Linked DNA regions of Canis lupus familiaris. The protein of the gene in region 1 interacts with the protein of each later gene in a pairwise test. Links are inferred from orthologs where the notes say so. Each region holds a gene or a part of one and is shown on either strand. Other genes may lie near its edges.

Region 1 (2,974 bases):
GTCTGCCTCAGATACCAGGGTACCTCAAGGGTTTCTAAGAGGAAGAAATTCGTGAGATGCTCGTCCTCAACCAGAGCAGCCCAGGGTTTTATCTGTTTTTTAGAAAACTCATCTTTGGGTAATGGTGGGAAGGTATTCTGAGTTCTTTCAGATTTTCCATTGTTAGTATGAACACAGTTTTTATATGTGTATATGCCTAAGAATCTGATTTTGTTCGTTTTTATTACCAGGTTTGGAGAAAATCGAAGTTTTACAGCAACATGAAAATGAAGACATATATAAATTAGCTTTTGAAATCATAGATCAATATTTCTCTGGTGATGATGTAAGTATACATTAAAGTATGGTATGCCTGCATGTACATTAAAATATGTACATACTCTGGGGGATCCCTGGGTGGCGCAGCGGTTTGGCGCCTGCCTTTGGCCCAGGGCACGATCCTGGTAGACCCGGGATTGAATCCCACATCGGGCTCCTGGTGCAGGGAGCCTGCTTCTCCCTCTGCCTGTGTCTCTGCACCTCTCTCTCTCTCTGTGACTATCATAAATAAATAAAAAAATTAAAAAAAAAAAATGTACATACTCTAAATTTACTAAGAATTTTCCTTTTATCATTAATAGGACAATTTTATAATATATTTCTATCAGATACTCTTGAAGTGGCATTTCCAGTTATTTTTAATCTAAAAAAATTAATGATTATTTTCCATCAATCATTTGTTTAAATACTGTGTATGTAACATCATTATAAAGTAAAAATATAAAAACAGTTCTTTGAAGGGGCACCTGCTGGCTCATTCAGTAAAGCATGAGACTCTTAATCTTAGGGTTGTGAGTTTGAGCCACACCTTGGGCATAGAGATTACTTTACAAATGCAATAAGAAAAAAAAATTTTTTTAATCTGTTAAATGGGAAGAAATACTACAGTTGACTCCTGAGCAACAAGTGTTTGAACTGCAAAGGCCTACTTATAGGTAGAATTATATATATATATATATATATATATATATATATATATATATATATATATATATAATTATTATATTATAATATATAATATATATTATATATATTATTATATAATATATAATTTTATATATATATATATAATTACCAAACTATCAAATAATCAAATAGGGTGTGTGTGTGTATGTAAAAAATATATATATCAAATACAGGTATATGTATGTAAAATATATATATATCAAATATAGGTGTGTATACACACACACACAGTACAGTACTATAAACGTATTTTCTGGAGCTCCTGGATGGCTCAATCAGTTAAGCGTCTGACTGGCTCAAGTCATAATGTCAGGGTCCCAGGATTGAGCCCCATGTGGGGCTCCCGACTCAGCAGGGTGTCTGCTTGTATCTCTCCCTGGCCCTTCCCCCCATTTGTGTTCTCTGTCTCTCTCTCAAATAAATAGAATCTTTTCCAAAAAATGTATTTTCTATTTCTTATGATTAGTAACATTTTCTTTTCTCTAGCTTACTTCATTATAAGAATATAGTATTTAGGGACACCTGGGTGGCTCAGCAGTTGAGCGTCTGCCTTCACCTCCGGTCGTGATCCCAGGGTCCTGGGATCGAGTCCCACATCAGGTTCCCTACAAGGAGCCTGCTTCTCCCTCTGCTTGTGTCTCTGCCTCTCTCTCTGTCTCTCTCATGAATAAATAAATTAAAAATCTTTTAAAAATACAGTATTGGGGATCTCTGGGTGGCTCAGCGGTTTAGCACCTGCCTTCAGCCCAGGGCGTGATCCTAGAGCCCCAGGATCAAGTCCCGCATCGGGCTCCCTGCATGGAGCCTGCTTCTCCCTCTACCTGTGTCTCTGCCTCTCTGTCTGTCTCATGAATAAATAAATAAAATCTCTAAAAATAAATACAGTATTTAATACATATAATGTACAAAATATGTTAACTGTTTATATTATTGGTAAGGCTTCCGGTCAACAGTAGGCTATTAATAGTTAAGTTTTGGGAGTCAGGAGTTATACTTGGATTTTGGACTCTGCTTTGGGGAGGAGATTGGTTTCCCTAGCTCCTGTGTCGTTTAAGGGTCAACTGTAATTATAGAAATGATGTGTGTTGAGATGAGTAAAATAAATCTACAGATACAGAAACTTAAGAATGAGGCATGGATGAGGGAGGAGGTAAAAAAAAAAAAAAAAAGAATGGAGCAATTTTTATATGTGTTCAGTTTAATTAAATTGTTAAATTACTGGGGGGACTTGGATGGCTCAGTTGGTTGAGTATCCAACTCTTGGACTCTTGATTTGGGCTCAGGTCCTGATCTCAGGGTCGTGAGATTGAACCCCCATGTTGGGCTCCACAGTCAGCAGGGAGTCTGCTGGAGATTCTCTCCCCCTCTGCCACTCCCCCCACTCATACCCACTCTCTCTCTCTCTTTCTCTCTCTCTCTCTCTCTCTAAAATAAATCCTCAAAAAAAAAGTTAAATTTATTAATATTATTATTGATTTACTTGTTTTTATTTATTGATTGAAACATAGAGAATAATTACAACAGGAGCACCTGGGAGGCTCAGTTGGTTAAGTGTCTGCCTTCGGCTCAGGTCATGATCTCTGGGTCCTGGGCTCAAGCCCTATGTGTGGCCCCTGCCTATCCCTCTCCTCTCCCTGGGGAGCCTGCCTATCCCTCTCCTCTCCTACCCCCCCCTCCCTGCTCATGTTCTGAAACTCTTTCTGTCAAATAAATAAAATCTTCAAAAAGAAGAAAGAATGATTACAACATTTGTAAAGAATTCTCTCATAAGAAGAAAGATTTGCTTATACCACATCTAGTATCTTAACATAATAAGGATATTTTTTGTGTGCTTTTTTATAGATTGATGAAGATCCTAGCCTCATTCCCGAAGCAACACAAGGAGGTACTTACAACTTTGACCCAACAGCCAACCTTCAAACAAAAGAATTTAATTTTTGAGTTCAGTTGAGTGCAGCATCTTTCCCAA
Region 2 (4,283 bases), on another chromosome or scaffold:
CCCATCTCATCACCCTGTTGGGAGCAGAAGCTGGACACCTGGGACTGTGAGGTTGCCCCCTCGAGGGCCTGGGGCCTTCTCCACCTCTTGCTCTGGATCAGGAGAGCTGGAAAGAGGGCCTGCTGGTGAACCCAGGCAAGCATTTAAAAAGCCTCCATGCCCACTGGAGATTAAGTTGAAGAGGCTCAAATGAGAGAACCGGGTGTTGGGTGTACAGCATGGCAGACAATGGCCCGAGGCGCAGGATCTACACAAACACACACACACAAAGTCTAAGCAACACCCAAAACCTTTACTGTGGCCCCACAGGCATGTGGTGGGCCAGGGTCTTTGCTGTCCACTGGCAAGCTGTCTGCTTCAGAGACCACTATCCCGAGCCCTAGCCCAGGCTGCTGGCGCCTCACACTGGCAGACCGCTGGCTCCCTTTCCAGGGCGGGGGGCCCCAAGCTCCACTCCACTCCAAGTGGCCAGTGACCCCGGCTGCCCTCCTCCACCGCATGGTCAGGAAACGCCAGCCAGGCAGTCTCTTCTCTCAAATCTCTGCACCTGGGGCCTCAGGTGTGTTGTTCTTGTTCCGGAAATGGTCCCTGCTCCGCTTCCTGCTACCATGGAAGCCAACAGTCTCCACCACTGGGGGCCCCACCGCTGACCTAGCATGGGCAGCCCCCTGTGGCACGTCCACTTCCTGTAGCCCCCCGTGGGGGCTGTTCTCTTCCTCAGCCTCTGGGCTCCCAGGCCCTGCCAGGTGGGCCAGCTCCACAGGGCCCTCGCCCCCTGCTGCTCCCAGGTCCCCAGGGGCACCCCTGCCTGACTCTCCTGCCTTCCTCAGGGCCCTCTTCCTCTCAGGCCTGGCCTCGCCAGCTCGGGCCGGTTTGGTGAAGATGACTCTTCCCTCCCCACAGCTGGAGGGATCCTGGTTGAAGGACGGCATGTAGTCTCTGGGGCCAGCCAGGCTCTGGGAGCTCAGGAAGGCCAGGGCGGCAGCCTGATTGCTCTGCTCACTGACCTCGGCTACGTTTTCCAGGCTGTACTTGGTCCAGCGCTCAGGGTGGGCCATGTAGTCAGGGATGGGGGGCAACTTCGTGGGGGCAGGGCTCTGACTGGCCCTGCCCGGGCCCTCTCCTGGACGCTGGTGTGAGGATGCTGGTGGCTGCATGAAATCCCCATGGTCACCCGGGTCTTGCCTGGCTGCGTCCTCCAGGCAGTCAAAGATGTTGCGGCTGCGCCAGGAGAAGGTGGAGCTCGTGCCTCTCAGGTGGAAGGGCTGTACTGAGGCTGTGGGGAGGCCTTTTGGAGGCAAAGGGGTCTCATCGGGGTCTGAGTCCCCCTGGGCCTCCCCAGATAGCACCCCCGGGGGCAGAGCTTCCATCTCAGTACCGCCAGGCAAGCTGAAATCGGAGTCCGAGTCACTGAGAGAGACGGTGTCGGAAGGCAGAGCGTCATCCTCTGTTCCTCGCTCGGCTTCCAGGGGCTCTCCTACCCCTACCTCAGACATGTGTCCCAGGGCCACCACACCTAGACCAGAACAGCCCAAAGAGTTCGTTTCTGAGGATTGCACCCATTTAGGACGGGCCCCTCCTATAAACCCACAGTCCCTGGGCAGGCGGCAGGGCCAGAAGGAAGAGCTATGTCCTACCAAACAAAGGACAGAGATTCCCACACCCGCCCCCCCCTCAACGTCTCACCTCCGTTGTCTGATGAACGTCTGTGCAGACACCAGAATTCTGGTGGGTGAAGTCCCGGCAAAGGCGCCCGGTGGCCTCAGTCCCGGCTCCGCTTAGCTGCTCAACTGTAGCGGGCAGAAGGTGGGAAGGGCAAATCGTCAGGGAGCACCAGGGCAAAGCGGTACCGCGACCCCCAGGGGGCGGTCCTGGGTTTCCGGGGCCCAGGCCCAGGCCGGCCTGGACGCAGACCCTTCGGGAAGATCTTCATTCAGCCCTCTTGAGCTAAGTCTAGGGGCCCGCTGGGGGTTAGGCAGGCAGCAGCCAGGGCCCAGCCCGGGGGCAGCAGCAGGCTCTGCGCTCCACGACGGCGCTCGACCAGGCGGCCCGTCCACGAGCTGCTCGGCACAGCTGCGCCACCTGCCTGGGCAAGGCAAGGGCTGCCCCTGCCTGCCCAGACGCCCCGGGACTCCACGCGGGTCTGCAGCCGGGGCCTCCGCGTCTGACCGTCAGGCCCGCGGGGAAGTGGGGGGTCAGCGGCCGCCCGGGGCATCCTTGCGGGCAGGGCAAGCCCGCGGCTCCGGCAGCAGCCTCTCCTGGCACGTCCCCGCGAGGGAAGGAGCTCCGGAGGGCGGGGCGCCGCCGCGACCTGGGGGGGCGGCCGGGCCGGCGGGCGCCCCGGGGTCGGGCACAGCGCCCCGCGACAGCGAGCGGCCGCGGCGGCTCCCGGGCTTCTCCGCGGAGGCCGGCGGCTCGGCCGGGGCAGGGCTGGGGCGCGCTCGGCCGCCCGTGGAAGCCGGCGCCGGCTGTCTCCGCCCCGGCGGGGGCCTGGCCGCACGCGGGCCGCGGCTCACCAGGCTCGGGGAGCCACCAAAGACGCGAAACACCTCGGGGATGTGGGGCGAGGAGGCTGCGAAAAGGCGACCTCTCTCCCGCGCCACAAGCCTACCGGCTCAAAGCCGCCGGGCCGCCTCCATCTTTCGCCGCGCTCGGCCTCCTGGGAAACCGAGTCTTCCGCCGGCCCGGCGCCTCGGCGTCCGCACCTGAAGAACTACACCTCCCACAAGGCACCGGGACGCTACTCCCGAGGCCTGTCGGGTCCCGTAGCCCCTGCGCATGCGTCCTCGCTTTTCTCCCTAGCCTCCCCCCTCCCCGGAAACGTCGGCTCTCCTTCGCGCAAAGAGCCGGAATTGAGGAGGGAAAGGAGGAGGAGGAAGAGGCAGCACTGCGACTCCCAGAATGCTCCAGGACTAACGGCCAGCGCCGCGTTCCCGGGGCCCCAGCGCCGCCTGCTGGAAGTCGCGAGCACAGCGGCCGCCTCAGGCCGGAAGTGCATCGTCGCACGCGGCATCGTCGCCGGGTGCTTCCGGTCAGGCCGGAAGTGCGGGCCGCCCGCTCGTGGGTCGGGGGAGGGGGAGGGGGAGGGGGTGGGGGGGGGCCGGGTTCCGTCTGAGCGCTCGGCTCGCGGTCCCGACGGCCCGGCCGGTGCTGCCCACCTGACGGCCGGTCTGGCCGCGTCTCTCGGGGCCGCGGTCCTGGAGTGCTCGGGAAGCCCGCGGACCCCTCGTTTCCGGGGCCGCCCAGCATGGCCTGCGGCAGCACCGGGCAGCTAGGTCGGGATGCCCCAGCCCCCCAGCCCCGCCTGCAGCTGCAGTGTGCCGCTGTGCGAGGATGCCCCAGGGACCCCGCCCTCCTGGGGGCCCCCCAGCCCCGCCAGCAGCTGCAGTGTGCAGCTGTGCGAGGGCGCCCCAGGGACCCGCCCTCCTGGGGGCGCCCCAGCCTCACCTGCAGCTGCAGTGTGCCGCTGTGCCAGGGCGCCCCAGGGACCCGCCCTCCTGGGGGCCCCCCAGCCCCGCCTGCAGCTGCAGTGTGCCACTGTGTGAGGATGCCCCAGGGACCTGCCCTCCTGGGGGCCCCCCAGCCCCGCCTGCAGCTGCAGTGTGCTGCTGTGCGAGGGCGCCCCAGGGACCCGCCCTCCTGGGGGCCCCCCAGCCCCACCTGCAGCTGCAGTGTGCTGCTGTGTGAGGATGCCCCAGGGACCTGCCCTCCTGGGGGCCCCCCAGCCCCCCAGCCCCGCCTGCAGCTGCAGTGTGCCGCTGTGCGAGGGCGCCCCAGGGAACCGCCCTCCTGGGGGCGCCCCCAGTCTCGGTCTCCCCAGCACAGACTGGCTGTGCTGTGCCTGCAGGCCAGGATCCCCAGGGTCGTGCAGGGGCAAGTAAGCAGGGCTGCTCCTTGGGCCACTCTGTTCTCTCAGGGACCCACCCTGGCACACAAGGTGGAGGGGTGTGGCAGGAGGGGCAGACCTCACTGAGACCTGATGACCCCAAAAGTAGGGCTGGGGCCAGTTTCCAAAACAAGCGCCAAGGGAGGCAGCTGTCAGCCCTCCACATGAATCCCAGCCAGGCCCTCATGGCCTCAAGGGGCCAGTTCAGCATACACCAGGTCAGTGCCTGCACTCAGCTCATGGTGACATCACCCAGCACTCCCGAGGGGGTGGGGGTGGGAGGAGGCAGCTGGGCCCCGGTCCAGGACGGGGGTGGGTCGGGTGGACTCCGCACACAGTGGCTGAGACCTTGCTCCCCAGCTTCTCCACGGAACACCTAGAAGCTCTGAAGAGTCCC

The links.
Region 2: the proteins of KPNA3 (region 1) and TSSC4 interact in binary tests that used the Homo sapiens proteins (3 or more experiments, as listed by UniProt). The two-hybrid records come from large-scale screens. The link is inferred for Canis lupus familiaris from reciprocal best matches to the Homo sapiens genes KPNA3 and TSSC4.

What each region holds. Positions count from the first base shown.
Region 1 is NC_049243.1:2,072,278-2,075,251, forward strand, and holds part of KPNA3 (importin subunit alpha-4), read left to right. Parts: intron 1-230; coding exon 231-325; intron 326-2,847; coding exon 2,848-2,946; 3' UTR 2,947-2,974. UniProt on the Homo sapiens protein: Functions in nuclear protein import as an adapter protein for nuclear receptor KPNB1. Binds specifically and directly to substrates containing either a simple or bipartite NLS motif.
Region 2 is NC_049239.1:46,929,424-46,933,706, reverse strand, and holds TSSC4 (protein TSSC4), read right to left. Parts: upstream 2,805-4,283; 5' UTR 2,517-2,804; intron 1,791-2,516; 5' UTR 1,687-1,790; intron 1,517-1,686; 5' UTR 1,497-1,516; coding exon 534-1,496; 3' UTR 272-533; downstream 1-271. UniProt on the Homo sapiens protein: Protein associated with the U5 snRNP, during its maturation and its post-splicing recycling and which is required for spliceosomal tri-snRNP complex assembly in the nucleus.